Anolis sagrei: one gene and its partners. The protein of the gene in region 1 purifies or fractionates together with the protein of each later gene. This does not show direct contact. Links are inferred from orthologs where the notes say so. Each region holds a gene or a part of one and is shown in the gene's direction. Other genes may lie near its edges.

What was found.
Region 2: the proteins of SLC30A4 (region 1) and PDS5B purify together in Homo sapiens (affinity purification with mass spectrometry; 3 studies listed by BioGRID and IntAct, counting the BioPlex papers as one, with this or other methods). This does not show direct contact. The link is inferred for Anolis sagrei from reciprocal best matches to the Homo sapiens genes SLC30A4 and PDS5B.
Region 3: the proteins of SLC30A4 (region 1) and FUT8 purify together in Homo sapiens (co-immunoprecipitation; 3 studies listed by BioGRID and IntAct, with this or other methods). This does not show direct contact. The link is inferred for Anolis sagrei from reciprocal best matches to the Homo sapiens genes SLC30A4 and FUT8.
Region 4: the proteins of SLC30A4 (region 1) and CIP2A purify together in Homo sapiens (affinity purification with mass spectrometry; 3 studies listed by BioGRID and IntAct, counting the BioPlex papers as one, with this or other methods). This does not show direct contact. The link is inferred for Anolis sagrei from reciprocal best matches to the Homo sapiens genes SLC30A4 and CIP2A.

The regions. Positions count from the first base shown.
Region 1 is NC_090029.1:31,684,736-31,692,629, reverse strand, and holds the start of SLC30A4 (probable proton-coupled zinc antiporter SLC30A4), read left to right. Parts: upstream 1-4,876; 5' UTR 4,877-5,128; intron 5,129-7,894. UniProt on the Homo sapiens protein: Probable proton-coupled zinc ion antiporter mediating zinc import from cytoplasm potentially into the endocytic compartment. Controls zinc deposition in milk.
Region 2 is NC_090023.1:33,552,319-33,560,175, forward strand, and holds the start of PDS5B (sister chromatid cohesion protein PDS5 homolog B), read left to right. Parts: upstream 1-4,840; 5' UTR 4,841-4,955; intron 4,956-7,857. UniProt on the Homo sapiens protein: Regulator of sister chromatid cohesion in mitosis which may stabilize cohesin complex association with chromatin. May couple sister chromatid cohesion during mitosis to DNA replication.
Region 3 is NC_090021.1:280,572,243-280,580,019, forward strand, and holds the start of FUT8 (alpha-(1,6)-fucosyltransferase), read left to right. Parts: upstream 1-4,766; 5' UTR 4,767-5,257; intron 5,258-7,777. UniProt on the Homo sapiens protein: Catalyzes the addition of fucose in alpha 1-6 linkage to the first GlcNAc residue, next to the peptide chains in N-glycans.
Region 4 is NC_090023.1:46,980,311-46,987,493, reverse strand, and holds the start of CIP2A (protein CIP2A), read left to right. Parts: upstream 1-4,179; 5' UTR 4,180-4,313; coding exon 4,314-4,415; intron 4,416-7,183.

The DNA.
Region 1 (7,894 bases):
ATGGCCCTATAGCCCGAAAAAACCCACAAGAACCTAGAATAGAAGTTCTTTTGAGGCTCTTGGGAAAGATGGAGCAGAGTTTTTCCCAGACTCCTTCCACACAGATATATACAATCCACATTGAACTGGATTATATGACAAAGTGGACTCAGATGACTCAATTCAAAGCAGATATTGTGGATTATCTGCCTTGATATTCTGAGTTACATGGCTGTTTGGAAGGGTCCAATAAAGGGAAATGGAATAATACAATACACATTTTATTTTGGATCTCAAAGAGTAGGCCAACTACAGCCCTTTATACACTGCCATTTAAGATCCAAACTATTTGAACAGTTTGGGACCGCATTTCTGTGTACGAACCCACACGATCTCTTCGATCATCTGGAGAGGCCCTGCTCTCGATCCCACCTCCATCGCAAGCGCGATTGGTGGGGATGAGAGAGAGGGCCTTCTCGGTGGTGGCCCCTCAACTCTGGAACTCACTCCCTAAGGATATCAGGCATGCCCCAACACTGGCAGTCTTTAGGAGGAGCTTGAAGACATGGTTGTTCCAGTGTGCCTTCCCAGAATAATGAACCCTTAGCATTACCCTTAGATTACTACAGATGCAGACAGTGGCCAGAAGACGCTTATTTCTTGGGAGGAGAGCAATGTCCTGTCTCGATAAAATAGTAAAGAGCAGAGACATCAGACTGGCAACAAAGATCCATTGCCTAGTCAAAGCCATGGTATTCCCTGTAGTCACCTACGGATGTGAGAGATGGACCTTCGGGAAGGCTGAGCGAAGGAAAATCGATGCTTTTGAGCTGTGGTGTTGGAGGAAAGTTCTGAGAGTGCCTTGGACTGCAAGAAGATCCAACCAGTCCATCCTCCAGGAAAGAAAGCCCGACCGCTCATTGGAGGGAAGGATACTAGAGGCCAAGTTGAAGTCCTTTGGCCACATCATGAGGAGACAGCAAAGCCTAGAGAACGGAATGATGCTGGGGAAAGTGGAAGGCAAAAGGAAGAGGGGCCGACCAAGGGCAAGATGGATGGATGGCATCCTTGAAGTGACTGGACTGACCTTGAAGGAGCTGGGGGTGGTGATGGCCGACATGGAGCTCTGGCGTGGGCTGGTCCGTGAGGTTACCAAGAGTCAGAGACGACTGAACGAATGAACAACAACACAGCATTATGTCCTCCAAAAGCACTTTATACTGATTTAGCACTGCTTGTATGTTCCCTCCACGCCCCACCTCCTAAATATGTTTTGTTTCCACTGTTCAATGTTTATGCTATTTGTGTATGAGATTTATTTTAATTGTTTCGCATTAGTATTTGTTTGTTTTGATGTATTGTGGGTTCGGACTCATGTAAGCCGCACCGAGTCCCTTGTGTACCTGGTAGCGGGGTACAAATAAGGTTTTACTATTATTATTATTATTATTATTATTATTATTATTATTATCTGCTTTGCACTGGATTATGTGGCAAGCTAGAGTCATATAAACCAGTTCAAAATAGATAATGCGGATTATCTGCTTTGATTATATGGTTATCATAAGGTTATCAAAGCAGAAAATCCACATTTTCAGATTTGAAATTGATTAAATAGACTAAAATGATCAAGGGTCTGGAGAACAAGCCCTATGAGGAGCGGCTTAAAGAGCTGGGCATGTTTAGCCTGAAGAAATGGCTGAGAGGAGACATGATTGGTAAAGATAGTCCCCTGACATTAAGTCCAGTCATGTCTGACTCTGGGGTGTGGTGCTCATCTCCATTTCTAAGCCGAAGAGCCAGTGCTGTCCGTAGACACCTCCAAGGTCATGTGGCCAGCATGACTGCATGGAGCACCGTTACCTTCCCGCCAGAGCGGTACCTATTGATCTACTCACATTTGCATGTTTTCGAACTGCTATGTTGGCAGAAGGGTGAGAGGAGACATGATAGCCATTTATAAATATGTGAGAGGAAGCCACAGGGAGGAGGGAGCAAGCTTGTTTTCTGCTTCCCTGGAGACTAGGACGCGGAGCAATGGCTTCAAACTACAAGAAAGGAGATTCCATCTGAACATGAAGAAGAACTTCCTGACTGTGAGAGCCGTTCAGCAGTGGAACTCTCTGCCCCGGAGTATGGTGGAGGCTCCTTCTTTGGAAGCTTTTAAACAGAGGCCGGATGGCCATCTGTCAGGGGTGCTTTTAATGCAATATTCCTGCTTCTTGGCAGGGGGTTGGACTGGATGGCCCATGAGGTCTCTTCCAACTCTAGGATTCTATCTTCGTCTACATTGCCACTTAATCCAGTTCAAAGCAGATAATCTGGATTTTTTTATGGCAGTGTAGAAGGGGCCTTTGCCGTTCCGTTTTACTAGCAAACCAGAGGTTAAGACAACGCCTTCTAACAGAGTTGAACATATAAACTGCAACAGTTAAATGTACACAAGCATGTGGACAATTTCAACAGAAAGGAGGAAACCATGAAAATGAACAAAATATGGCTACCAGTATTAAAAAATTCTAAAATTAAAACAGCACAACAACAGAGAGTAAACAATCAGGCACATCTAATCACCTCTCAACAAAAGATTCCCCCAGGCACTGCCACCCCATCAAATGCTAATCAAGGTGGTCAGTTGAAACATTCACACCTAGCTCCAGCAGACAAGAGTTCTTTGTCCCACCCTGGTCATTCCACAGATATATAAACCCATTTTTCTACTTCCAACAGACCTCCCTACCTCTGAGGATGCTTGCCATAGATGCAGGAGAAACGTCAGGAGAGAATGTCTCTAGACCATGGCCATATAGCCCGAAAAACCTACAGCAACCCAATTAAATGTGTGAGGACACAACAGGTCACATGAAAACCATATATAAGATGCATAAAAATTCAGGCAAATTTGTATTGCTCATTTCACATAGCCTACACATATCAGTGTAGGCTTCTACACTAATATATAAAATCCAGATTATCCGTTTTTAAGTGGATTATATGGTAGGGTAGACGCAGATAATCCAAAACATGTGGATTATTTGCCTTGATATTTTGGATTATATGGCAATCTAGAAAGGCCCAAAGTTTAATGCAAGCAAGTAACTGGAAAAAAGGAAACGACTTGTCAAATATTTTATAGCCAACATGGAACACAAAGCTTCAAAATATTTATAAGTAAACTATACAAACTATCAAAAAGCTAAAGAGAAGAACACGCCGTTCTTTTGCCTTTACAGATTTGGTTCTTGGGAAAGACGAGGCTCTGTGTCCATCCCACAACAATAGAAAACCAAAATGAGATAAGCCGCAAACGAAGAACAGTAAAGTCTAATTCTTATTATCAAGTGTTTTCAAAACAATTTACAAATTGTTCTTCTGGTGCTCTCTGTTCTACTGCTGCGGTTTGCGAGATCAATCCTGTTCGTATTTCTTAATAAAGTTTTCCCCTTTTTTTCTTGTTTGCATGCATTTTTGAATCAGTACCATTGTGGATCCTAATTTGCACCGGTCACAGACTGCGAATAAATGCACTTTTGGACCAATGGGATTGCAGATCCCGGCACTGCACCAATCGCCTGTTTCTCATGTTCCCAAATGCATATGAATTCTCTATATAATACCCATGGTCTGTATTTGAAAGACACACTGGATCAATTTCTACTCCTGCCTTCTGCTTGTTTCATTGGACCAACTGGAGACCCCGGGATTTTGGAAAACAGCTGGGTAAGATTTCCTAAAGACTCAAGCTGGTTCTACACTGCCATGTAATACAAATGATCAAAGCGAGTAATCCACGTTACCTGCTTTTAAGTGGATTATAGAAGTCTACACTGCCATATAATCCAGTTCAAAGCAGATAATCTGGATTTTATATGGCAGTGTTTTAAGTGTTGTCAACTGGTTTTAATTCCTTTTTTTAATATAGTGTAATAATTTATTTTGGTACAATGAATTTGGTATTTTGTTATATACATATACACATACATGTCCATACACACATATATATACACTCACATACACATATCCACACATATATATACACTCACATACACATATCCACACATATATATCCATATATACACATACACATAAACATACACATATATACAATACACACATACACATATCCAGATATACACATACACATGCATATAAACATACACATACACACATATATATCCATATATACACATATACATATATACACATATATATCCATATATACACATATACATAAACATACATATATACAATACACACATATACATATGTCCATATATACACATACACATACATATAAACATACAGATATATACAATACACACATATCCATATATACACATACACATGCATATATACAATACACACATGTACACATACACACATATATATCCATATATACACATAAACATACATATATACAATACACAGATACACACATGTCCATGTATACACATACACATGCATATAAACATACACATATATACAAACACACATATATATCCATATATACACATGCATATAAACATACACATAAATACAATACACACATATACACATACACGTCCATATATACACATATACATATACATACACATATATATATATACACATACACATATAAAAACATACACACATACACACATATATCCATATATACACATACATATAAACACACACATATAGGTCCATATATGCACATAAACATACATACACACATATACACATTCACATATACACACACACACATATATAAATTTATATACACCCTAAGAATGCATGCTGCCTCAAGTCCCAATGGGGAAAAGTAGAGAGGGGCTGAGACTGAGTGGAGGCGTGGCTACCGCCTGCGAGGCCCCGCCCCTCCTTCCCTGCCTACAGTTCCCAGCCTGCCTTGCGCGCGGGTTAACCCTTCCGAAGCCGCGGCGCCGGGGCAGTTGCTGGTTGAGAGACGTCGCCGTGGACGAGGAGGAGGAGGCCTCTCTCTCTCTCTCTGCCTTCAGGGCTGAAGGGCGGCATGGAGAGGCAGCAGCCGGGGGGGCCTGGCCGGGTCCCTCTCCCTCCCTCTCCCCAGGAATGCCCCTCCTTCCCTCCCTGCCAGGCGGGGACCCGCGCCCATCCCGACGTGCGCCTGAAGACACGCGTCTTGGAGGTGCAGCATTCGTATCCCTCTCACAGCAGGCCTGGGCCAACTTGGGCCTTCCCTCCAGGTGTTTTGGACTTCAACTCCCAGAATTCCTAGCAGCCTCAGGCCCTTTTGCCCAAAGGGCCTGAGGCTGCTAGGAATTCTGGGAGTTGAAGTCCAAAACACCTGGAGGGAAGGCCCAAGTTGGCCCAGGCCTCTGCTCCACAGCCAAACCCCATCTAACCTGGGCAGAGCCAAGCAGAGGCTGGGTGGGCATCTGTTGGGAGGGTTTCGATGGTGCCTTCCTGCCTTGTGGGGTCTCTTCTGACACTTTGATTCTGGGGTTGCCTACCTTCTCTGCCCCCTCCATGGACACTTGAGGAGATGGACGAGGTGTGAATGAAGAGGAGAGCCATGACTGTCCAGCCTTGCTAGACTTTGCACCTGGGCAAGGAGGAGCACTGTTGTGCCATGTTGTGTACCTGCAAGTCTTTTATGACTTTGCGATGGAAAGACAGGTGCTGTTGTGTATTTGCAAGTCTTTCCTGGCTTTGCGATGGAAAGAGCGGTGCTGTTGTGTACCTGTAAGTCTGTTGTGTCCCTGCAAGTCTTTTCAGGTATACAACTGCAAAAGAACTGCTGTTGTATACCTGTAAGTCTTTCCTGACTTTGTGATGAAAAGAGCAGTGCTGTTGTGTACTTGTAAGTCTGTTGTGTATTTGTAAGTCTTTTCTGACTTTGCGATGGAAAGAAAAGTTCTGTTGTGTATTTGCAAGTCTTTTCTGACTTTGTGATGGAAAAAGTACTGCTGTTATGTACCTGTAAGTCTGTTGTGTCCCTGCAAGTCTTTTCAGGTATACAACTGCAAAAGAACTGCTGTTGTATACCTATAAAGTCTTTTCTGACTTGGCGATGGAAAGAGAGGTCCTGTTGTGTATTTGTAAATCTTTCCTGGCTTTGTGATGATAAGAGCAGTGCTGTTGTGTACCTGTAAGTCTGTTGTGTACCTGCAAGTCTTTTCTGACTTTGCAATGGAAAGAGAGGTGCTGTTGTGTATTTCCAGGTACTTTCTGACTTTTTTGGTGGAAAGAAAAATTCTGTTGTGTATTTGCAAGTCTTTTCTGACTTTGTGATGGAAAAAGTACTGTTGTTGTGTACCTGTAAGTCTGTTGTTTACCTGTAAGTCTTTTCTGACTTTGCGATGGAAAGAAAAGTTCTGTTGTGTATTTGCAAGTCTTTTCTGACTTTGTGATGGAAAAAGTACTGCTGTTATGTACCTGTAAGTCTGTTGTGTCCCTGCAAGTCTTTTCAGGTATACAACAGCAAAAAACCGGCTGTTGTATACCTTTAAGTCTTTCCTGGCTTTGTGATTAAAAGAGCGGTGCTGTTGTGTACCTGTAAGTCTTTTATGACTTTGCGATGGAAAGAGAGGTGCTGTTGTGTATTTGCAAGTAGTTTCTGAATTTGCGGTGGAAAGAAAAGTTCTGTTGTGTATTTGCAAGTCTTTTCTAACTTTGTGATGGAAAAAGAACTGCTGTTGTGTACCTGTAAGTCTGTTGTGTCCTTGCAAGTCTTTTCTGGTATACAACAGCAAAAGAACTGCTGTTGTATACCTGTAAGTCTTTCCTGGCTTTGTGATGAAAATAGACTGCTGTTGTGTATCTGTAAGTCTGTTGTGTACCTATAAGTCTGCTGTGTCCCTGTAAGTCTTTCCTGGCTTTGTGGTGAAAAGAGCGGTGCTGTTGCGTACTTGTAAGTCTGTTGTGTACCTATAAGTCTGTTGTGTCCCTGCAAGTCTTTTCGGGTATACAACAGCAAAAGAACTGTTGTGTACTTGTAGGTCTGTTGTGTACCTGTCAGTCATTTCTGACTTTTTGATGGAAATTTCTGTTGTGTACTTGCAAGTCTTTTCTGACTTGGTGATGGAAAAAGAACTGCTGCTGTGTACCTGTAAGTCTTTCCTGGCTTTGTAATGAAAAGGGAGGTGCTGTTGTGTATTTGTAAGTCTGTTGTGTACCTGTCAGTCATTTCTGACTCACCCCCCCCCATGAAAATTTCTGTTGTGTACTTGCAAGTCTTTTTTGACTTTGTGATGGAAAAAGAACTGCTGTTGTGTACCTGTGATGAAAAGAGTGGTGCTGTTGTGTATTTGCAAGCCTTTTCTGACTTTGCGATGGAAAGAAAGGTGCTATTGTGTATTTGCAAGTAGTTTCTGGCTTTACGATGGAAAGAGAGGTGCTGTTGTGTATTTGCAAGTAGTTTCTGTCTTTACGATGGAAAGAGAGCTGCTGTTGTGTATTTGCAAGCCTTTCTGACTTTGCGATGGAAAGAGAGGTGCTGTTGTGTTGCAGTTTTTTATGACTTTGCAATGGAAAGAGAGGTGCTGTTGTGTATTTGCAAGTAGTTTCTGACTTTGCAATGGAAAGAGAGGTGCTGTTGTGTTGCAGTCTTTTCTGACTTTGCGATGGAAAGAGGGGTGCTGTTGTGTATTTGCAAGTCTTTTCTGCTTTTGCAATGGAAAGAAAAGTTCTGTTGTGTACTTGCAAGTCTTTTCTGACTTTGTGATAGGAAGAGAGGTGCTTTTGTGTACCTGCAAGTCTTTTCTGCCTTTGCAATTAAAAGAGTAGAACTGTTGTGTAGCTGTAAGTCTGTTGTGTACCTACAAGTCCTTTCTGGCTTTGCGATGGCAAGAAAGGTGCTGTTGTATACCTATAAGCCTTTTGTGTCACTGCAAATCTTTTTTGCTTTTGCGATGGAAAGAGACATGCCTTTGTTTACCTGCAGGTCATTTCT
Region 2 (7,857 bases), on another chromosome or scaffold:
AGTCAGCCTCTTTTTCAGCCAATCAGGGGAGGGAGTGGGAAACCAGAACTGTATAAGATGTCCTGCATTTCTCTGTATGTTTATGCTTGCTCCTTCAGAAGCAAATTGCATGTACTTCAATCCTTTCTGACCAAATTGTAATAAACCTCTGACTGGTTTACTGTGAGTTTTCCAGGCTGTATGACCACATTCTAGAAGCATTCTCTCCTGATGTTTTGCCCACATCTATGGCAGGCATCCTCTGAGGTTGAGATGTCTGTTGGAAACTAGGCAAGTGAGATTTATATTTCTGTGGAATGTTCATGGTGGGAATTGACCCTGGATTGATGAATATGATTGTTTGATTAGCTGGCTTTGAATCTATGCACAATAGTCATCTAATGTTTACATATATTGTTTTAAAGTTGTTTTAAAGTGTTACTTGCTTTAAATTCTTGTTGTTGTTTGGGGATGGAATAATGCCAATTATGTAAGACGCCGAGTCCGCTTCGGGTGAGAAGAGCGGGATATAAATGTAAATAAATAAATAAACTTTCTTAATTCTATAGTGTAGATTACATTGGTCAAACTCATGTCTTGCGAGTTTGATGAACTTTACCATCCATGGGCAAACTTCAGCCCTCTGAGTGTTTTGGACAGCAACTGCCACAATTCCTAACTGCCGGTAGGCTGTTAGGAATTGTGAGAGTTGCAGTCCAAAACACCCAGAAGACAGAAGTTTGCCCATGCCTGGTTTAGCCCTATTCCAAGGGCTTTTACCCTGCGCTTCCTCTCCCAACCTGCAGGGTCAGAGGGCCAAAGTTTGCCCATGCTTGATTCCAAACCTGTGGGCCGCAAGACCTAAAATAAGGTCCATAACTCTCGATTACTAAATATGGTTTTCTGTGGGTGAGCAGATGGCGACTATTGGGTGGTATATGTTTAACTAGAGCTGATGTGGACTGTTATGAGTCGTAATTTAATATCTGATATGCAGGACAAAGTTGAAGTACTTTGGCCATATCACGAGGAGACAGGAAAGCTTAGAGAAGACAATTATGCTGGGGAAAATTGAAGGAAAAAGGAAGAGAGGCTGACCAAGGGCAAGATGGATGAATGGCATCATTGAATGGCTGACTGGCACAACCTGGGGATCACAACCAGATACAGTGAAGACATCTGCTCTTGCGCTGTGCTACTCTGCTGCTGAGTATGCATGCCTAGTGTGGCGGGGCTCAGGTTGCATTGCAGCAGGTGGTCTGTGGTTTGCTCTTCTCCACACTCGCATGTGGTGGATTCCACTTTGTAGCCCCATTTCTTGAGGTTGGCTCTGCATCTCGTGGTGCCAGAGCGCAGTCTGTTCAGCAGTCTGTTCTTCCTCAGAGCTCGGGATGCCTGTCTGTTCTTGAGATGAAAAGCACATGTCTGTGTTTTAGATGGGTTAGGGATCAACTGGTTTTCCCTGTAATAGGCAGTAAGAGCATCTAGAGCAGGGGTCAGGAACCTTCGGCCCTCCAGGTGTGGTGGACTTCAACTCCCACAATTCCTTGAGGCTCGGCATTCGCCCCAAAGGCTTACCTTGGCCTCAAGGAATTGTGGGAGTTGAAGTCCACCACACCTGGAGGGCCGAAGGTTCCCCATGCCTGATCTAGAGCTTTGGAGAGCTTCTGTTCAACCATCTCAAAGCTCCCTGCTTGAGCGGTAATGGCACAATCATCTGCATAGATTAAACTCTCTGTCCCTTCTGGCAGTGGCTGGTCATTTGTGTAGATGTTGAACATGGATGGAGCAAGCACTCTTCCCTGAGGCAGGCCGTTCTTCTGTTTCCACCATCTGCTTCTCTGGCCCTGGAACTCAACAAAAAAGCTCCTGTTTTGTAGCAGGTTTCCTATGAAGCGGGTGAGATGGTAGTCCTTTGTGATATTATACATTTTTCTCAGGAGGAGGCGGTGGTTTACAGTATCATAAGCCACTGACAGGTCTATAAAGACAGCTCCTGTGATCTGCTGCCTTTCAAAGCTGTCGCTTACAAATAAGAGGTCTGGGTTATAACCTCGGTGCCATCTCCTGCTGTTGTAGGATGGTGGGAGCTTGCTATCATGGATGAGTGATAGTTTGTGCAGTTCAGACCAGGACAGGACAGCCTCTCCATTTCTGTCCTCTTGAGCATAGCCCCATACATGACTATGGCTGTTAAAGTCACCAATTACTACCGCCCTTTGGTGCCTGTCAAAGTTCTTGGGGGAGGAGAAGCAGAACTCTTCATTTGGGGGGTTGTACACAGAGGTGATGTTATTAAACTTTACTGTTATAACCTCGACATTGTTTTCTTCAGTATTGTGGGCACTGCTGACTTGGAGGCCTGGTTTTATAAAGACAGCGCTTCTATACTGCGCATGTGGTCTTTCTGCTACTAAGACCATTCCTGGAACTTTTGGTCATTTCTGTTGTTAATTCCTGTGTGTTTCTTGGACACACAGCACATCACATTTCTTATCTTGGCACAGTTTATAGAGCAGTTGTTCTTTGGCAGCTGACATGTTGATTGAGATTATTGTTATGGTTGGTCCTGAAAAGGTCCGTTGGTTGTTTTGCTTGCTTGTTTGCTTCTATGTCCCACCTCGGAGCTTAAGATCTTCTGGGGAGGCCCTGCTCTCGGCCCCACCTTTATCACAATTGAGGCTGGTGGGGAAGAGGGACAGAGCCTTCTCAGTGGTGGCCCCTCGCCTGTGGAATTCACTCCCCGGGGAAATTAGGTCATCAACATCCCCTCTTTCCTTCAGAAGGAAGTTGAAAACATGGATATGGGACCAGGCCTTTGGGTAATCCGACAGACTGAGAAGGTAATGACGACCAGAGTTTGGAAAGGACTATGATAATGCTGAATGGACTTACGGATTTTTAGAACTCAGTGAATGTTAGCCACTAGATTGGCTTTACTTTTAGTTGTTATTGTATTAATTGATTGTTTTTAACTATTTGTGATTACTGCTGCTATGTTGAATTGTTGGCATCGAATTGTGCTGGTTGTAAGCCGCCCTGAGTCCCCCCTAGGGGGTTGAGGGGGGGGTTGAAGTACTCGAAATAAATAAAAAATAAAATTTGCTTGCTTGTTTGCATGCTGCAAGTCGCTTCTGGTCGCTTCTGGAGTGAGAGAATCAGCTGTCTACGAGGACGTTGCCCAGGGGATGCCCGGATGTCTTGCAATCCTGCGAGAAGGCTTCTGTCATGTTCCCCCCCTCCCCCCAAGCTGAGAAATGCTGGTTTAGTGAAGACATCTGTCCTTGCGCTGTGCTACCCTGCTGCTGAGTATGCATGCCCAGTGTGGAACACATCTCACCACACTAAAACAGTGGATGTGGCTCTTAATGAGACATGCCGCATTATCATGGGGTGTCTGCTCCCTACACCACTGGAGAAATTACACTGTCTAGCCAGTATCGCACCACCTGACATCCGCTGGGAAGTGGCAGCCAATAGTGAAAGTACCAAGGCAGAGACATCTCCAGCTCATCCCTTGTTTGGGTATCAGCCAGCACGTCAACGACTTAAATCCAGACATAGTTTTCTAAGATCTACAGAGACACTCGCTGGAACACCTCAGCAAGCGAGAGTCCAAAAGTGGCAGGCTTAAACCCAGAACCTCAACCAATGGCTGATACCAAATGAGAAACTCCCCCCTGGGCACACAGAGGACTGGGCGACTTGGAAGGCGCTGAACAGACTGCGTTCTGGCACCACGAGATGCAGAGCCAACCTTCAGAAATGGGGCTACAAAGTGGAATCCTTGACATGCGAGTGCGGAGAGGAGCAAACCACTGACCACCTGCTGCAATGCAACCTGAGCCCTGCCACATGAACAATGGAGGACCTTCTTGCAGCAACACCAGAAGCACTCCAAGTGGGCAGATATTTATTTATTATTTATTTGCTTTATTTCTATACCGCATTTTTCAGCCTAATTAGGCGACTCAATGCGGTTTATACAATACGGGTTATCACAACAATAAAGCGATTAAAACACATCATATACAGCAGACAAAATCAAACAATCAACATCATATCATAACGCCTCATTAACAAATCAGAATCCGTTCTCATAATCCTTGTACCATTTCCTATGTTCAATTTTACTGTCTTCCTGTGTTCAGTTGCACTGCTTAGCCAAACACTTGTTCGTAGAGCCAGGTCTTAACCTTCCTCCGGAACGCCAGCAGCGAAGGGGCCTGTCTGATGTCTACAGGTAAGGCATTCCATAGCCGAGGGGCCACCACCGAGAAGGCCCTGTCTCTCGTCCCCGCCAACCGTGCCTGTGACGCAGGCGGGACCGAGAGCAGGGCCTCCCTGGACGATCTTAATGTCCTGGTCGGTTCATAGGTGGAGATGCGTTCGGAGAGGTAAGTAGGGCCAGAACCGTTTAAGGCTTTATAGGCTAACGCCAGCACCTTGATACTGGTCAAAGGGCATTTAATCAACTACCAAACTCACACATTTTGTATTTTCTCTGTTTGTTTGCTTTGTTCTGTCAGAAATGTAACATAATTGACTGGCTGCCCTGACATGAGAAATAAATAAGCCCCATTCCAAGGGCTTTCGCAATGTGCTTCCTCTTCCAACCTGCAGGGGGATCGGAGGGCCGAAGTTTGCCCATGCCTGGTTGAGCTTTCGCCCTGCGCTTCCTCTCCCAACCTGCAGGGGCCGCTGCTGCCTCACTTTGGCGCCGGCCTCTCCGCTCAGCGGCGGGGTCCCTCGGAAAGAGACGAGTTGGCGCCATTTTGAAGCCGCCGAAGGGGAGGTGGGAGGGGGAGTTGCGGAAGGGGAGGGAGGGAGGGGGCCCACGGCGGGCGCTGATTGGCTGCGGCGGGCGCGAGCGACGGCTGTGGTGTCCGAGCGCGGCGGGCGAGAGAGAGAGAGCGAGGGCGAGAGAGGAGGCTCTGCCTTGTCTCGGCTCCAGCCCCACCGCCACGGCTTTCCAGGTAAGGGACAGAAAAAGGCCCTTTTTTCGCCGCCTCGGGCTCCCGACGAGGAGCCTGTTTGGCGCCTCTTCTCCGTCTCCTTCCCCGCCTCACGCCGCCATCCTTCCTTCCTTCTTTCCTTCCTTCGCCTCAGCCGTTCCTCGCATATTGAACTTGCCGCCCTTTTCCTGCCTGCCTGGCTTGCGGGCTTTTCTGGGCCTCTTTCCGCCTCCCCGCCCCGTTCAGCCCAATCTAGACCTTTCTCCCGCTTCCCTCAGGGCCCCCGTCTGCACTCAGCATTCAATGCGGGTCGAAACCGAGGGGGGAATGCCCACAAAAGCGCGCAAAAGGACGCCCTCAACGTGCGCCTCCCCGAGGGCCGCAAATGGGTTCCTATGGATGTCCTCTTGTCAATCGCCTGCACTTTCTTCTGTACCGGTTTGAAACTGCGTTCCATGCTCGGTGTAGATGGCCCCTCCAATGTGGCACTAGGATACTTTCCCACCTTTTCTCCCCACTTCCAAGACTCTTCTTCTGAGCTTTGCTTTCTCCTCTTCGGCCTAGTCGTCCTTCTAGCGAGGAAGGGGCTTCCAAATGCCTCCTACTTTCTCCATTCTCCGAGGAAGTTCCTTGTCTGTGTGTCTGTGTCTCGCTAGCCGTCTCCAATATAAACAGACCCAAACTGTGCTGGTTTTAGTATAAATCTACAGCAGGCATGGGCCAACTTGGGCCCTCCAGGTGTTTTGGACTTCAGTTCCCACCATTCCTAACAACCTCAGGACCCTTAATTGGCTGAGGGAGGGGGGAGAGCCTGTTAGGAATGGTGGGAGTTGGAGTCCAAAACACCTGGTGGTCCCAAGTTGGCCCATACCTGCATTATACACCTTTAACTTGCCTGTCCTAAGATGTGTCAGTGCCTTGCTAGCCATCTCCAATATAAACAGATCCAAACTCTGCTGGTTTTAGTATAAATCTACAGAAGGCATGGGCCAACTTGGGCCCTCCATTCCAGGTGTTTTGGACTCAATTCCCACCATTCCTGACAGCCTCAGGCCCCTTAAGCGGCTGGGTGAAAGGGGGAGAAGGAGCCTGTTAGGAATGGTGGGAGTTGGAGTCCAAAACACCTGGTGGTCCCAAGTTGGTCCATGCCTGCATTATACACTTTTAACTTGCCTGTCCTAAGATGTGCCAATGTCTCGCTAGCCATCTCCAATATAAACAGATCCAAACTGTGCTGGTTTTACTATAAATCTACAGCAGGCATGGGTCAACTTGGGCCCTCCAAGTGTTTTGGACTTCAATTCCCACCATCCTTAACAGCCTCAGGCCCCTTAAGCGGCTGGGGGAAAGGGGGAGAAGGAACCTGTTAGGAATGGTGGGAGTTGGAGTCCAAAACACCTGGTGGTCCCAAGTTGGCCCATGCCTGCATTATACACTTTTAACTTGCCTGTCCTAAGATGTGTCAATGTCTCGCTAGCCATCTCCAATATAAACAGATCTAAACTGTGCTGGTTTTAGTATAAATCTACAGCAGGCATGGGTCAACTTGGGCCCTCCAAGTGTTTTGGACTTCAATTCCCACCATCCCTAACAGCCTCAGGCCCCTTAAGCGGCTGGGGGAAAGGGGGAGAAGGAGCCTGTTAGGAATGGTGGGAGTTGGAGTCCAAAACACCTGGTGGTCCCAAGTTGGCCCATGCCTGCATTATACACTTTCAACTTGCCTATCCTAAAATGTGTCAATGTCTCGCTAGCCATCTCCTATAGGTGTGTTGCTTTTAGTATGTATTCTATCCTGGGAAATTGATGCATCTACATTGTAAAGTTAATTCAGTTTGACACCTCCTTTAGCTTCCATGGGCCAGTTCTGTAGAATTATAGAGGTTCCAAGTTGGTCCATGCCTGCATTATACACTCTTAAAGTGCCTGTCCTAAGATGTGTCTATGTCTCACTAGCCATCTCCAATAGGTGTGCTGGTTTTAGTATGTATTCTACCCCGGGGAATCGATGCATCTACATTGTAAAGTTAATCCAGTTTGACACCTTCTTTAGCTTCCATGGGTCAGTTCTATGGAATTATGGGAAGGTCTTTAGCCTTTTCTGCCAAAGTGGGCTGGTGCCATGCCAAACTGCAACTCCCAGGATTCCCTAGCATTGGGCTATGGCAGTTGAAGAGGTGTCAAACAATTCTGATTCTTACCTGTCCTAAGATGTGCCTTCCTCCAATCTCTGAGGCAGTTCTTTGCCTGTGTGTATATGTCTTGCTCATGGTTTCCAGTATAGCAGATCCAAACTCTGTTGGTTTTAGTGTAGATCCTACCCTGGGAAATCAATGCATCTACATTGTAAAGTTAATCCAGTTTGACACCCTCTTTAGCTTCCATGGGTCAGTTCTATGGAATTATGGGAAGGTCTTTAGACTTTTGTGCCAAAGGGGGCTGGTGCCATGCCAAACTACAATTCTCAGGATTCCCTAGCATTGGCCCATGGCAGTGAAAGAGGTGCCAAACAATTCTAATTCTTACCTGTCCTAAAATGTTTCTTCCTCCAATCTCCAAAGATGTTCCCTGCCTGTGTGTATATGTCTCACTCAAGGTTTCCAATATAGCAGATCCAAACTCTGTTGGTTTTAGTATAGATCCTACCCTGGGAAATCGATGCATCTATATTGTAAAGTTAATCCAGTTTGACAGCCCCTTTAGCTTCCATGGGTCAATTCTATAGAATTATGGGAAGGTCTTTAGCCTCTTCTGCCAAAGGGGGCTAGTGCCATCCCAACCTATAACTCCCAAGATTTCCTAGCAATGGGCCATGGCAGTTAAAGAGGTGTCAAACAATTCTAATTCTTACCTGTCCTAAGATGTGCCTTTCTCCAATCTCTGAGGCAGTTCTTTGCCTGTGTGTATATGTCTCGCTCACTGTTTC
Region 3 (7,777 bases), on another chromosome or scaffold:
CCTTAACAATCTTTTCCAGAATCTTGCCTGGTATCGACGTGAGGCTGACCGGACGGTAGTTGTTTGGGTCATCCTTTTTTCCCTTCTTGAAGATTGGGACCACATTGGCCCTCCTCCAATCTGCTGGAATTTCTCCCGTTCTCCAAGAACTCTCAAAGATGGTTGCCAAAGGTTCCGAAATGACTTCCGCTAGTTCCTTCAATACTCTGGGGTGTAGTTGATCTGGCCCTGGGGACTTGAACTCATTAAGAGCGGCCAGGTATTCCTGGACGACTTCTTTCCCAATTTGGGGTTGGATGTCCTCCAATCCCTCATCCACTCCATCTTGCTGAGGTTGAAGACTCTCTTTTTGTGAGAAGACCGAGGCAAAGAAGGCATTAAGTAGTTCTGCCTTTTCCCTATCCCCTGTCAGCATTGCCCCATCTTCTCCTCGAAGAGGTCCTATCGCCTCCTTGTTTTTCCTTTTTCTACTGACATAAGAATAGAAGCCCTTTTTATTGTTTTTAATGTCCCTGGCAAGTCTGAGCTCATTTTTTGCTTTAGCCTTGCGGTCCTTTTCCCTACAGGTGTTGGCTATTTGTTTGAATTCTTCTCCCTTTTCTCCCTGATTTCTCCCTTTTTCCACTTCTTGTGCATGTCTCTTTTGTGTCTTAGCACAGTTAGAAGTTCTTTGGACATCCATTCTGGCTTCTTTGCACTTGTCCTATTTTTTCTCTTTGTTGGCACGGTTTGCAATTGCGCCTTGAGTATTTCATTCTTGAGAAATTCCCATCCATCCGTAACTCCCTTGTCTTTTAGTATCTGTGTCCACGGAATGCTGCTCAGTGTTTCCTTCATTTTTTGGAAATCAGCTCTCCTAAAGTCCAAAATGCGGGTTTGACTTGTCTTCGTTTCGGCCTTCCTTTGTACCTCAAATTGCAGGAGCATATGGTCACTTGCCCCTAAGGATCCTACCACTTCGACCGCATCGATCAGGTCCTCCGCATTTGTTAGGATGAGATCAAGAGTAGCCAATCCCCTTGTTGCCTCTTCTACCTTCTGGACCATGAAATTGTCTTCAAGGCAAGTGAGGAATTTGTTGGACCTTGTACTCTTGGCCGAGTTTGTTTTCCAGCAAATATCGGGATAGTTGAAATCGCCCATGACTACTACATCTCTTCTCTGTGCCTGTTTGGTCAACTGTTGGCAGAAGACTTCATCAAGTTCTTCCTCCTGGCTTGGGGGTCTGTTGTAGACGCCTACAACGACATCTTTTTGAGTCCCAGTTCCCTTGATTCTTATCCAGATGATTTCAAGCTGGTTTCCCAGATTGCTGTCTTGAATCTCTTCTGCAGCATGAGTTTTTGACATATAAGGCTACTCCGCCTCCTCTCCCCTTTGTTCGGTTTCTGGGGATCCTATGTCCCTAACTCCAGCGAATGTGGAGGACTGTCTATACTTCCTAACTTAACAGATTTTAACATTACCCTTTAAGGTCTTGTATGGTTCTTTGTTGGTGTTATTTGCCATCAAGCTACTTTTAATGAACACGCCTCCACCCTCATCATCAATAGCCTTGCTGTCAAAGTTAATGTGGTCTCCTTTGCCCGCTGTCACGCACTTAATCAAGAAGTATCATCTTTTCTAAAGATTCATGTCATCTCATTATGTGTCCAAAATACAATAGCCCGAGGTTTAGTCGTTTATGATAGTTAGTTTAGCCATTAGTGAAAATTCAGACTTGATTTTCTCCCAGATTGGTTCGTTTATCTTTTTGGCAGTTCAGGGTATCGATAAAATTTTCCTCCAGCACATTTCAAATGAGTTAATTTTTCCCTGGCCAATTTTTTATACTCTCCAGCCTTCCAGGTTATACACTAAGATTAGAAATAGTAAAGGGTGGGTGAGCCTAACTTTGGTTTCAATGAAACATCTTTAGTTTCTTCCTAGCTGCACTTCCAAAGGCCCATCTATACTGCCATATAATGCAGTTTCAAACTGGCAGTATAGATGGGGCCCAAAGCTTAAATCCTTTTATCTCTTGACTACAGCTTCCATTTTGGTTAATGATAGAACCGAGATATAAATCTATTTATTATTAACTTTTTAAAATTGTAGGTATTTTCACTAATGGTCCCATCTGGCACAAGTCTGCCCACGAGAAGGAGGTGAATGACACTGAGACACGTAGAATAATCACAGGATGTCTTAAACCTACAGCTGTTGATAGACTTTATAAGCTAGCTGGCATTGCCCCCCCTCCCCAATGTGCAACAGGAAGTTGCTGTCAATTGGGAGAGAAACAAGGTTGAACACTGTGAAAACCACCAACTGTGTGGCTATCAGCGTTCTCCCAGTAGGCTTTAAATCAAGAAAAAGAACCACCACTCGTCTATCAGGTAATCACAACTGGATGCCCCCCTCTTATGGTTTATGTCGTTAACTATGATATTCGTATAATTATGTTTATTACTCGCACTCTGTTTCCCATTCTGATGTTAATTTCTCTGCTGTTGTAAGTTTACAGTTATTATTTTGCATTATTTGAGATGTTTAGGCATTTAATGTTTGCCTCTTTTGTGTGTAAACTGCCCTGAGTCCCCTCGGGGAGAGAAAGCGGTCTATAAATAAAGATTATTATTATTATTATTATTATTATTATTATTATTATTAGAAACACGAGTCCACAGCAGACACTCTGCTGGTTGTTGTATTGGATCACATGTAAGACACTTCCCAAGTGTCTAGGACTGTGATGTATCAGTGAATAATGCTTGCAGATCTCAGTAAGGTAGCCTTCTGCAGCTGGAAGATGGTAATTTTGTCAGCGCCAATTGTGTTTAAGTGCAGGCCAAGGTCTTTAAGCACTGCACCCAGTGTGCCGATTACTACTGGGACCACCTTGACTGGCTTGTGCCAGAGTCTTTGCAGTTCGATCTTTAAATCCTCATATCATGTCAGCTTTTCCAGTTGTTTCTCTTCAATCCTGCTGTCACCTGGGATGGCAACATTAACAATCCATATTTTGTTTTTTTACACGATCGTGAGGTCAGGAGTATTGGGCTCCAAAACTGTCTGTCTGAATTCGGAAGTCCCAGACTAGTTTGACGTGTTGTTTTTCTGTAACTTTTTTAGGCTTGTGATCACACCAGTTCTTTGTTGCTGGCAGATGGTATTTGTGGCACAAGTTGCAATGAATCATTATATTATTATTATTATTATTATTAGAAACACAACAAGATGAGTCCACAGCAGGTACTCTGCTGGCTGTTGTATTGGATCACACGTCGCACTTCCCAAGTGTCTAGGACTGTGTGATGTATCGGCGATTAATGCGTGCAGATCCCAGTATTATTATTATTAGATCTGGTGCATTTAGGGTGTCTAGGACTCCATGCAGCACTCTTTATTTTAACTGTGATCCCTTCTTTACCCATTCCCAAAATGACTTACAATGGTTCATCTAGATCAGTGGTTCTCAACCTGTGTGGTCCCCAGATGTTTTGGCCTTCAACTCCCAGAAATCTTAACAGCTGGTAAAGTGGCTGGGATTTTGGAGAGTTGTAGGCCAAAACATCTGGGGACCCACAGGTTGAGAACCACAGCTCTAGATTCTAGGCTGCCTAATAAAATCTGGGCCTATTCACACTACACAATTATAGTGCTACAATTCCACTTGAAGTACTATGGTTCCATCCTATGGAATCCTGGGTTTGTAGTTTGGTCAGAGGCACATCTGTCTGGCTGGGAATCTGAAATCCTCCTCCCTAAACTGGCAATTCCCACATTCCATGGGTTGGAACCAGGCCCATAGCTGGGGAGGGGTGGCTTGAGGGGCTTCAGCCCCCCCCCAATTCTCAGGGTGGTCTGCGAGAAGGCCTTACTGGTACATTATTTAAACTGTTATGTTTATTCATATCATGATCTGATCACCATGCTCAATATATCCCATATGCATGGGGCATTGGGATAACGATGCAAAAGGTTTGCTAGGGTAGACCCTGAGCGCCCCCCCACCCCAGCAAACTCAGTCCCCCCCCCCCCCCATCAAAATCCTGGCTACGGGCCTGGTTGGAACCATGGCAGTTAAAGTGGAATCATCGCGCTGTAACTTGTGCAGACCCCAGACATTGCTCAGAACGGTTCTTCCATGGAGCAGAGCTCTGATTAGGGAGGAGCTTTTAACAGCCTCACAAACTACAAACCCCAGAATTCTGCAGGAGGCAGAAACCGGATTTAAAGTGGATTCGTTCTCTAATGCAGGCACCCTCCAACTGCGGCCCTCCAGCTTTTTGGGCCTTCAACTCCCAGAATTCCTGACAATTGGACGAGCTCATTGGGGCTTCTAGGAGTTGGAGGCCCAAGCAGCTGGAGGGCCGCGGTTCGAGGGTGCCTGCTCTAGTGTGATGAAGTATTTCAAGAGCGAAGGGGTCGGGAGCAGCAGAAGACCAACGCTGAGGCTGAGAGGGGAGAAACAGGCCCACCAATGGCCCTGTCCCGCGTCCTCCTCCCGTCCCTCCCTCCCTCCCTCCCTCCAGCACATCCGACTCCGAACCCAACGCCTAAACAGACAGGACCGAAAAGGGAAGGGCGAAGGGGAGTCGGCTGCTTAGCGCGCATGCGCCTTGCCCGCTCTTCATCGCCTTTGCTCGCTCGGGTTTGTGAAGCTAACGTTCCGCCCGCCTGGAGATTTCACGCGGCGCCTCTCTCATTGGTTGCCCTCCTAAAAAACAGCCAGAGCGCGCTTTAGGCCACGCCCTCCTCTCTATGGGTTCCTTTGGACTCCAGTCTTGACGCGCCGAGGGCCAATAATACCTTCTCTCCCTCTCTCTCTCGCGAGCGCGCGCGCGCGCCCGCCCACCACCGTTCCTTGAAGGTTCCTTTGGTGCGCGCGCGCAGGAAGGGGGCGCGAGCGAGCGAGTGTTTGTGTGTGCGCGCGCGCGTTCCGTTTTTAACTCCCCCTCCCTCCCTCCCTCTTTCCCTCGCTCTTCCCTTCCTCCCTCCCTCCCTCTCTCTCTCTGTTCTGTCTGTCAGGGAGGGTCTCTTTCCTCTCTCTTTCTTTCTCCTCCAGTCTCGTCAGAGGCTCCCGCTAAAACGGCGAGCGGGTTCCTGTTTCCGTGTCTTTCCATCTCTTTTTCCCCTTCCCTCCCTCCCTCCTTTCCTTCCTTTTCCTCCATCTCAGAGAGAGAGAGAGAGAGAGAGAGAGAGAGAGAGAGAGACGAAGAAAGGCAGAGGCGACGAACCGACGAGAGCCCGCTGGCGGGCGACGAAGATTCGGGTAAGACGAGGCGTGAATGTGGAGTGAGTGAGAGAGAGAGAGGGTCCTGCGAAGAGGGAACTTGAGAGGAGGATGCGCTTTCCCCTCTTCCTCCTCCCTTCATCCTTCGCCAGCGGCCTGTGAGGAGGCAGCGGAGGAAGAAGAAGGGGAAGCCGGAGGACCGTCCTTCCTTCCTTCCTTCCTGCCTCTTCGTCTCCCTCAGAGGAGCACCGCCGGCTGTGTCATCCTGGCTCGGGCCTGGGCGCCTCAGGTCGGAACGTTAAGGGAAGCCCCGTTGCTATGCTGTGGAGCCGGGAAATGGGAGGAGGGGGGAAAGGCAGGCAGGCAGGCAGGGAGGCTGATGCGGGGAAGGAGGACAGCGGGGCATCGTGGGCCCTGCACAGATGCCCACCCGGAGAGACTGTTGGGACTGCCGTTGCAATCTGGGGGAGGAAGGAAGGAAGGAAAGAAGGGAGGGAGGGAGGGAAAGAAGGGGGGGGGGTCGACTCTGCAGGAAGCGTGCGTCAAGAAAGAGCTGTGGGAGTGACTTTCGCACTTCCCCTTCCCCCCTCCTTCCTCCCCCCTCCGCCCCAGATTTAAACTTTTGCCTCTTCAGTCAGGAAGTGAACCTGGGGTGCCTTGTTTTGCTAGGATGCCACCCTGGGCGCGGATGAGCTCCCTCTATCAGCTCCAGCTCCTCATGCAGGGACACCAGAGAAGCCTCCCACAAGGATGATATTTATTATTTATCGTGTCATCCGCAACCAGAACATTGTATTACATTTCCAACAGAACAGAACAAACAAACAGATAAAAAAACAACACAAATTTTGCAAACTTGGTAGCTGATTAAATGTCCTTTGACCAGGATCTGGCCACTTGGAGTGCCTCTGGTGTTGCCGCAAGAAGGTCCTCCATCGTGCATGTGGCCACATGCACAAGGATGATAAAACATCAAAACATCTGGGCGTCCCCTGGGCAACGTCTTTGCAGACGGCCAGTTCTCTCACACCAGAAGAGACTTGCAGTTTCTCAAGTTGCTCCTGACAGGACAAAAACAAAACCCTGGGTGTTTATGACACAATGGCATGCTTTTCCATGGAGAGCAGTGACTTGACAGTGGCTTGACACTTGTCAATACATGCACTGTCATACAATAATAGAAGTAGCATCTAATTCATCACACCACAACTGTCCTAGCATCATGCTACTTCAATCACATTAGAGAGAATGAATCCACTTTAAATCCAGTTGCTGCCTCCTGCAGGATTCTGGGGTTTGTAGTTTAGGGAGGCGCCTTTAACAGCCTCACTAAACTACAAACCCCAGAATTCTGCAGGAGGCAGCAATCGGATTTAAAGTGGACTCATACTCTATTGTGATGTGTTGAATAGAATCCTAGAGTTGGAAGAGACCTCGTGGGCCATCCAGTCCAACCCCCTGCCAAGAAGCAGGAGAATTGCATTCAAAGCACCCCCAACAGATGGCCATCCAGCCTCTCACTACCTCTGAGGATGCTTGCCATAGATGCAGGCGAAACGTCAGGAGAGAATGCCTCTAGAATGTGGCCATATGGCCCGAAAAAACCTACAACACCCCATCCAGCCTCTGTTTAAAAGCCTCCGCCACACTCCCGGGCAGAGAGTTCCACTGCTGAACAGCTCTCACAGTTAGGAAGTTCTTCCTAATGTTCAGGTGGAATCTTCTTTTCTGTAGTTTGAAGCCATTGTTCTGTGTCCTAGTCTCCAGGGCAGCATAAAACAAGCCTGCTCCCTCCTCTCTATGACTTCCCCTCACATATTTATACATGGCCCTCATTATGTCTCCTATCAGCTTTGTCTTCTGCAGGCTAAACATGCCCGACTTGCTTCTTGGGGGTGCATCTACACTGTAGAATTATTGTGGCTTGACACCACTTTCACTGCCTTAGGCTCTATGCTGTGGAATTGGGAGTTTCCCTGGTAGACTCAAATCCAAGAAAAGCTTCGTGAGAATCACTACTCCTCTTAACTTCTCAACCACAGCAAGAGTATCCCTATGGGCAGCTAAACCAGGAAACCCCAGTTGGATGATCCCCTACGAGGGTCTGCCTCCAGGGGCAAACCAAGAACAGACTCAGAAGTGGAGTGGGCAGATCAAAAGACAGCCTGGCAAAATGGCACTACCTAAAGGAATCCTTCACCTTGTGTGACTGTGGAGCAGAACAGACAACTCCGCATCTGTATGCTTGTCTGCAATGTCCTGTCTCATGTACAGAGGGAAGAATTGTTTGAAGCTACAGACAATGTGATTGCTGTTGACAATTTTTGGTCAAAAGATATTTAGCCACTTGTGCTCCTTCTATTTTTGTCAGTTTTTATACTAATTTATGCAATGCTTTTGATATATAGGGGAGTTTTGCAGATCCAGTTGGAGAGTGAGGTGCATTTGGTCACTCACCTAGGTCTTGTGACTAAATAAAAAACATCACTCAAAAACTGGCTACTTCCAGACAAGAAACAATCAGGTCCAGCTAATACCCTCCCAATAAAGAATTTCCCC
Region 4 (7,183 bases), on another chromosome or scaffold:
AACTCTTTAAATGTTTTTAATTATATTGATAATCCTATTTTAAGTTTTGTATGTTTCAACAATGTGAACTTTTAGCTGGATTCAACATTGGTAAGTTCCTGGGGCGGAAAGGAAAGAAAGAAAGAAACAAATAAATAGAAGACAACTTGGGTTCTAGTAGTAATTGCACTCTGGAGTAATTCCAAATGGACAGATAAAACAGCTGGATGAAATTACCACTAAAGGGATCTCAATATAACTGTATCTCCCTATGGGAGATAGGGCAAAATATAAATAAAGTCTTATTATTATTATTATTATTATTGTAAAAAGTTACACTATCTGATAACATCTCACTGATTTCTGGGCCCCTTCTACACTGCCATATAATCAAGATTATCAAAGCAGATAATCCACATTATCTGTTTTGAACTGGATTATATGAGTCTACACTGCCATATAACACAGTTCTATAAATCAAAGGTAAGTGTACAGTTGACCAAAGAAATATGGAGGTTATTTCAGGAACACTTACAGATCATGCAAATTCACTAGACAATGATGTAATAGGAAATAATTGCAACACAATAGAAAAAAGTTCTTAGGTTAACACAACCTAAAACAGCCTGGAAGTTACATGCAACTTCTTCTTGCCCCCCCCCCCCCTTAATTTATTTTGTTATTACTACCTTTTTTCAACTTCCCACTCCCCAACCCCCGTCTCTTTCCTTTCCTACTTTCCTTCTCATATTGTTCTCACACTTTTGATATAAACCTATCATGATTTTACAAACTTTCTTCACACTCCAACCTCTCGGAGCCAAATTATTCTTAATAAAAATAAGTTGGAAAACAATTGCAATCAAAATGGTTATGGGGAGTGAGACAACTGGAAGTGAGAGAAATCTTCCCCTTGGAAGAAAAATTTGCTCATGACAGTTATCATGGGGGGGGGGGGGGGAGATGTCTCCACTGAAGCTTTCTCAGTAATCTTTGTTTCCGTAACAAGTCAAAATTTTCAAAATCCAATTCTCACAAGGACATAAAGTGAGGTGAAATCTTCTGCAATGTTTAGCACGGAGCGCAAAACAAAGACCACAGGGGAGTTAATCCTTCCCTATGCTATCCAAAGCATGCATTTTTAAGTATAACTCCAGCCAGAATATACATATACATATATATCTATACCTATAGTAAAGGTAAAGGTTCCCCTCTGACATTAAGTCCAAATCCAGTTGTGTCCAACTCTGGGGGGGGGGGGTGATGCTCCTCTCCATTTCTAAGCCAAAGAGTCGGCATTGTCTGTAGGCGCCTCCAAGGTCATGTGGCCAGCATGACTGCATGGAGAGCTGTTACCTTCCCGGTGGAGCGGTACCTATTGATCTACTCACATTTGCATGTTTTCGAACTGCTAGGTTGACAGAAGCTGGGACTAACAGCGGGAGCTCATGCCGCTCCCCAGATCCAAACCTGTAACCTTTCAGTCAGCAAGTTCAACAGCTCAGCGCTTTGACCCACTGCACCACTGGGGGCTCCACCTCTCTCTCTCTCTCTCTAAATATATATCCTGGCTGGAGTTACACTTTAAAAAGAAATCTGATCCATCTTAGAACCAAAGACAACTTAAGAACAAACTTACAGAACCTCCCTTGCTCATAACTTGGGGATTCCCTATACTTTCCTGTTGCAAATTTCTCAGGGAAGTTTATAAATGAATTAAAAAACAACAGAAAAATAGCAGAATGGTGCCAATACAAAATCCCTATCTGTAGAGTCTATGGATGACCACCGCAATGAAGAAACATAAGAAAACGAAGAACTCTTGTTTTTACTACAGTAGATGTGCAGAGTGCTATTGAAAGGGGATTCATTATTACCCACAATAGTCTTCACAGTTTCAGCTCTGTTTCCATGATATCTCCTGTGCCATTATATGTTTCGCCCACCTTATTGAACCATTTATCCTTTAATCAGTTCGTATGTTGGCCTCCTTCCTCCCTCCAAAATTGGTCTGCTGTTGCTTGATACTTGTTTATTACTGTTACGCTGTTTTGTGCTATTTTAATTTGTTGTTCTTTTTGCTTTTAACTATATGTTGCTTGGGCTTGGCCCCATGTAAGCCGCCCCAAGTCCCCTTGGGGAGATGGAGGCAGGGTAGAAAAATAAAGTTCTGTGGCAACTTGCAACATATTCAATACTACTGTATTTTTGTGGCAAAAACTATATAAATAAACTATACATAAATATGGGTCCCTGAGAACTGAAAGGAGAAGAGCGCAGCTGCATTAAGAAATCAAATAAAAAAGGAAGGCTAAACTCTCATGAAGGTGACAGAATATAAAATCTGGGGTGGCCTTGTTGCTTAGGCAAGGAATCCTCAAAGATGTGTGCATCTACACTGAGGAAATTGATGCAGTTTGACACCACTTTTACTGCCGTATCTCAATGCCATTGAATCCTGAGGGTTCGGTTTTACAAGACCTTTGCTTCCAGAGTGTTGGTGCCTCACAAAACTAAAAATCCCAGGATTCTTTAAAACTTAAGCATTGGCAGGTAAAGAGGTGCCAAACAGCATTAATTCTTCGAACAGCTGACCTTTCAATCAACAAGTTCAGCAGCTCAGCGGTTTAACCCAATGCATCACAGGGGGCCCACATGCCTGAAGTGGGTTAAACCGCTGAGCTGCTGAACTTGTTGACTGAAAGGTCAGCTGTTCGAATCAGGAAAGTTGTGTGAGTTCCTGCTGTTAGCCCCAGCTTCTGTCAACCTAACAGTTCGAAAACATGCAAATGAGTAGATCAATAGGTACCATTCTGGTAGGACTGTAACAACGCTCCATGCAGTCATGTTGGAAATAATATGATAGCTGGGTCCGGAAGCTCCGAGTGTTACAGAGATGCCGCATCGCTTGTTCGGGAGTGCTGTTTGTGCAAGAGAGACTTAGCTAATGTAAGCCAGGCCGAAGACAGATAATATAGAAGGAATGTAAGAGTTCTTTAATGGTGAAACCCTAATCTTTACCCTAACCGTGAACCGTACCGTAAGCCTAACCCTAACCCCTTACCCAAAACCTTGCCCTAACCCAAACCCTAAACATTACCCTAACCCAGGGATCCACAAACTTTTTAAACAGAGGGCCAGGTCACAGTCCCTCAAACTGTTGGAGGGCCGGATAATAATTTGAAAAAAACATTTAGAATGAATTCCTATACACACTGCACATATCTTATTTGTAATGCAAAAAACACTTTAAAACAATACTGACAAATATAAACTTATTGGTTTTTTTTTTTTGGTATTTCAATGGGAAGTGTGGGCCTGCTTTTGGCTGATGAGATAGGATTGTTGTTCTTGTTGTGTGCTTTCAAATAATTTCACTGAGGTTGACCCTGAGCGAGGGCCGGGTAAATGACCTTGGAGGGCCACATCTGGTCCACGGGCCTTAGTTTGAGGACCCCTGCCCTAACTCTTATGCTAACCCAAATCCTAAACCTTACCCGTACCCTAACCTTAACCCTAACCCAAATCCTGAACTTTGCCCTAACCCTTATCCTAAGCGTCCCCTCCTTTCTATCCTTCCTTCGCTCTCTCTGCTCTCACTCTGCCCTCTCTTTTCCCTTATTTATCATCTTTGCATCATCTCCTTAACACTTGGGAGCTTCTGGACCCAGCTATCATACTATCAGTCATGCTGGCCACATGATCTTGGAGGTGTCTGTGGACAATACCGGCTCTTCGGCTCAGAAATTGAGATAAAACCAACGCTCAGTCGGACATGACTAGACTTAAACCTTTACCTAGATAAGGCATGAGCAAACTTTGGCCCTCCAGAAGTTTTGAACTTCAACTCCCACAATTCCTAACAGCTTCAGACCCCTGAGGGGAAAAGGAAAGGAGCTGAGGCTGTTAGGAGTTGTGGGAAGGCTGAAGTTTGCCCATGCCTGAATTACTATGCTAATGCAGCTTTGGCACCACTTTTAAGTGCCTCACTTTGGAGACTGAGGGTGCACCTACACTGTAGAATGAATGCAGGTTGATACCACTTGAGCTGACATGGAATTGTGGGATTTGTAGTCTTGCAAGGCCTTAGAAGTCCAAGGGCATTCCTCCAACTGCATTGGTTCTGCTGCCTGGAGGAAGGCGCGCGCTCCTCAGATCAGGCAGCCGCCTCGCGCCTTCCCAGCATGCACCAGGCTGGGCGGAAGTGCTCCCGAGGGGCGTCGTCGTGGTCGGTCGCGGCCTCAAAATGGCGGCCAAGGCGCCAAATACGATTTCGGGAGAGTGAAAGAGAGACCGGGAGCCCAAGTTTGGTGATACTGGCGCTCCGCGGCGGCATGGACGCCTCGGCCTGCATGAAGTCGCTGCTCCTGGCGGCCTCTCAGTACCGGGCGGCTCGCACCCAGCCCAACGCGGCGCTCCTGCAGCGGAGCCTGGAGGTAGGAAGAGCAGGAGTTCGGGAGGAGGAGGGGGCTTCCTTCCATCCTTCCTTCGGCCTCTCTGTCCGAGGCAGGCCTCCCGCTCTTGGGGCCTCCAACTCCCAGAAGCCCTCGCCTGCTTGTTCAGTGGGAGTTGGAGGGCCGCAGTTTGAGGAGGCCTGGTCTAAGTCTCCTCGCCCTCTTTATCAATAGGCAACTATTATAAACAATGACTAATTGTGATCTTTACATTATTAATTGTTGCAAATTAAATGATTAAATATCCTTAAACGACATCACAACCTCTGAGGATGCTTGTCCCATTTCTTAAGATTGGCTCTGCATCTCGTGGTGCCAGAGCGCAATCTGTTCAGCGCCTTCCAAGTCGCCCAGTCTTCTGTCTGCCCAGGGGGGAGTCTGTCATCTGGTATCACCCACGGATTGAGGTGCTGGGTTTGAGCCTGCCACTTTTGGACTCTCGCTTGCTGAGGTGTTCCAGCGAGTGTCTGTAGATCTAAGAAAACTATTTCGTGATTTAAGTCGTTGACGTGCTGGCTGATACCCAAACAAGGGATGAGCTGGAGATGTCACTGCCTTGGTCCATTCACTATTGGCTGCTACCTGACTATCGGCAGATGTCAGGTGGTGCAATGCTGGCTAAGCAGTGTAATTTCTCCAGTGGTGTAGGGCGCAGACACCCTGTGATAATGCGGCATGTCTCATTAAGAGCCACATCCACTGTTTTAGCGTGGTGAGATATGTTCCACACTGGGCATGCATACTCAGCAGCAGAGTAGCACAGCACAAGGGCAGATGTCTTCACTGTGTCTGGTTGTGATCCCCAGGTTGTGCCAGTCAGCTTTCGTATGATATTTTTTCTAGCGCCCACTTTTTGCTTGATATTCAGGCAATGCTTGTAGGTCAGAGCACGGTCCAGAGTGACTCCCAGGTATTTGGGTGTGCAGCAATGCTCCAGTGGGATTCCTTCCCAGGTAATCCTCAGAGCTCAGGATGCTTGTCTGTTCTTAATGTGAAAGGCACATGTCTGTGTTTTAGATGGATTAGGGATCAGTTGGTTTTCCCTGTAATAGACAGTAAGAGCACCTAGAGCTTCCACATAGATGCAGGCGAAATGTCAGGAGAGAATGCCTCTAGAACATGGCCATATAGCCCGAAAAAACCTACAACAGCCGAATTTAATGATTCATACTTATGATCTTTCAAAGCTCTCCCTGATCTTTCAAGTGATCAGTCTTTTAACGGGTACTATTTGTCTGCTGTTCAGAAAAACAGCTTTCCTTTAGAATCCTCCTGTGGGTTCTTTCTTTTTTTTAGCATTGTTGACTTCTTTGAGGGCAGAGTCGTGTTTTAATCCACTGTTTCCCAAACTTTGGCCTTATCCACACTGCTGAATAAAATCCCACATTTCCTGCTTTGAGTTGGGATATATGAGGGTTGAATGAAAAGTAATGCCTCCACTGTCGTAACTCAACATATGGCAGTACTGGTATGTGGCAGGTACTGGCTTGTTCAGTAGATGCTCCTCTGCAGTTCCATTTTGGCGGGAAGCCTTATCATTGAATGGTTGTGTTAAAGTGCGAAGCATGGAACCCTGTGCAGGTGGTTGGTCAATGTGACAAGCAACGTGCAGTCATTGAATTCTTGACAGCAGAAGGTGGCACCCCTAAGGAGATTCATCAGAGAATGCAAGCTGTTTATGGTGATTGTGTTAATGTGAGAACTGAGTCGTTGGGCGAGTAAGTTTAAAGATGTTGAGGTGACACCTGCTGTCAGGAATTAAATGACTGCACGTTGCTTAAGTCGCATTGACCGACCATCTCTGCAGGGTTCCATGCTTCGCACTTTAACAACACAACTGTTTAATGCTAAGGCTTCCCACCAAAATGGAACTGTACTGGCTACCAGTACTGCTATCTATTGACAAGTTTCGAAGGTGGAGGCATTGCTTTTTATTCAACCATCATATGACAGTGTGGACTCGGGGCCCTTCCAGACCGGCCCTATATCCTAGGATCTGATTCCAGGTTTTCTGGTTATCCCAGTTCATCTGACAGTGCAGACTCACATAATTCGATTCAAAGCAGAAAACCTGGGATCAGATCCTGGGATATAGGGCCTGTGTGGAAGGGCCCTATATCCCAGGATCTGTCATCTGGTATCACCCACGGATTGAGGTGCTGGGTTTGAGCCTGCCACTTTTGGACTCTCGCTTGCTGAGGTGTTCCAGCGAGTGTCTGTAGATCTAAGAAAACTATTTCGTGATTTAAGTCGTTGACGTGCTGGCTGATACCCAAACAAGGGATGAGCTGGAGATGTCACTGCCTTGGAGAGCCACAGCTTCCAGTTGAGTTGACAGTTATTTGGATCAACTGGTCATTACAAAACACTTTACTATATTCCTGAAATTTGAAAAAAAAGAGATTTATTTATTTATTTACTGCGCTTATATACCGCAATTCTCAGCCCTAGGGCGACATTGCACCACCTGACATCCGCCGGGAAGTTCTGCTATGAATTGGAAAGTGTAATTTCCTACTATCTCTAATCCTTGTCTATGTGTGTCCTTAAGTTGCCTGTTGACCTATCAGATCCTGGGATATAGGGTTTATCTGGAAGGGCCCTCAGATAGCCCAGTTCAAAGCAGATATTGTTGGATTTCTTTCCTTGATATTCTGGGTGGAAGGGCCCCTTGTCTTCCAGGTGCTTTGGGCTCTGGTTCCCAGCATTCTTAGCTGTTGTTCCAGGCTGTCTGGAATTGAATTTGAATT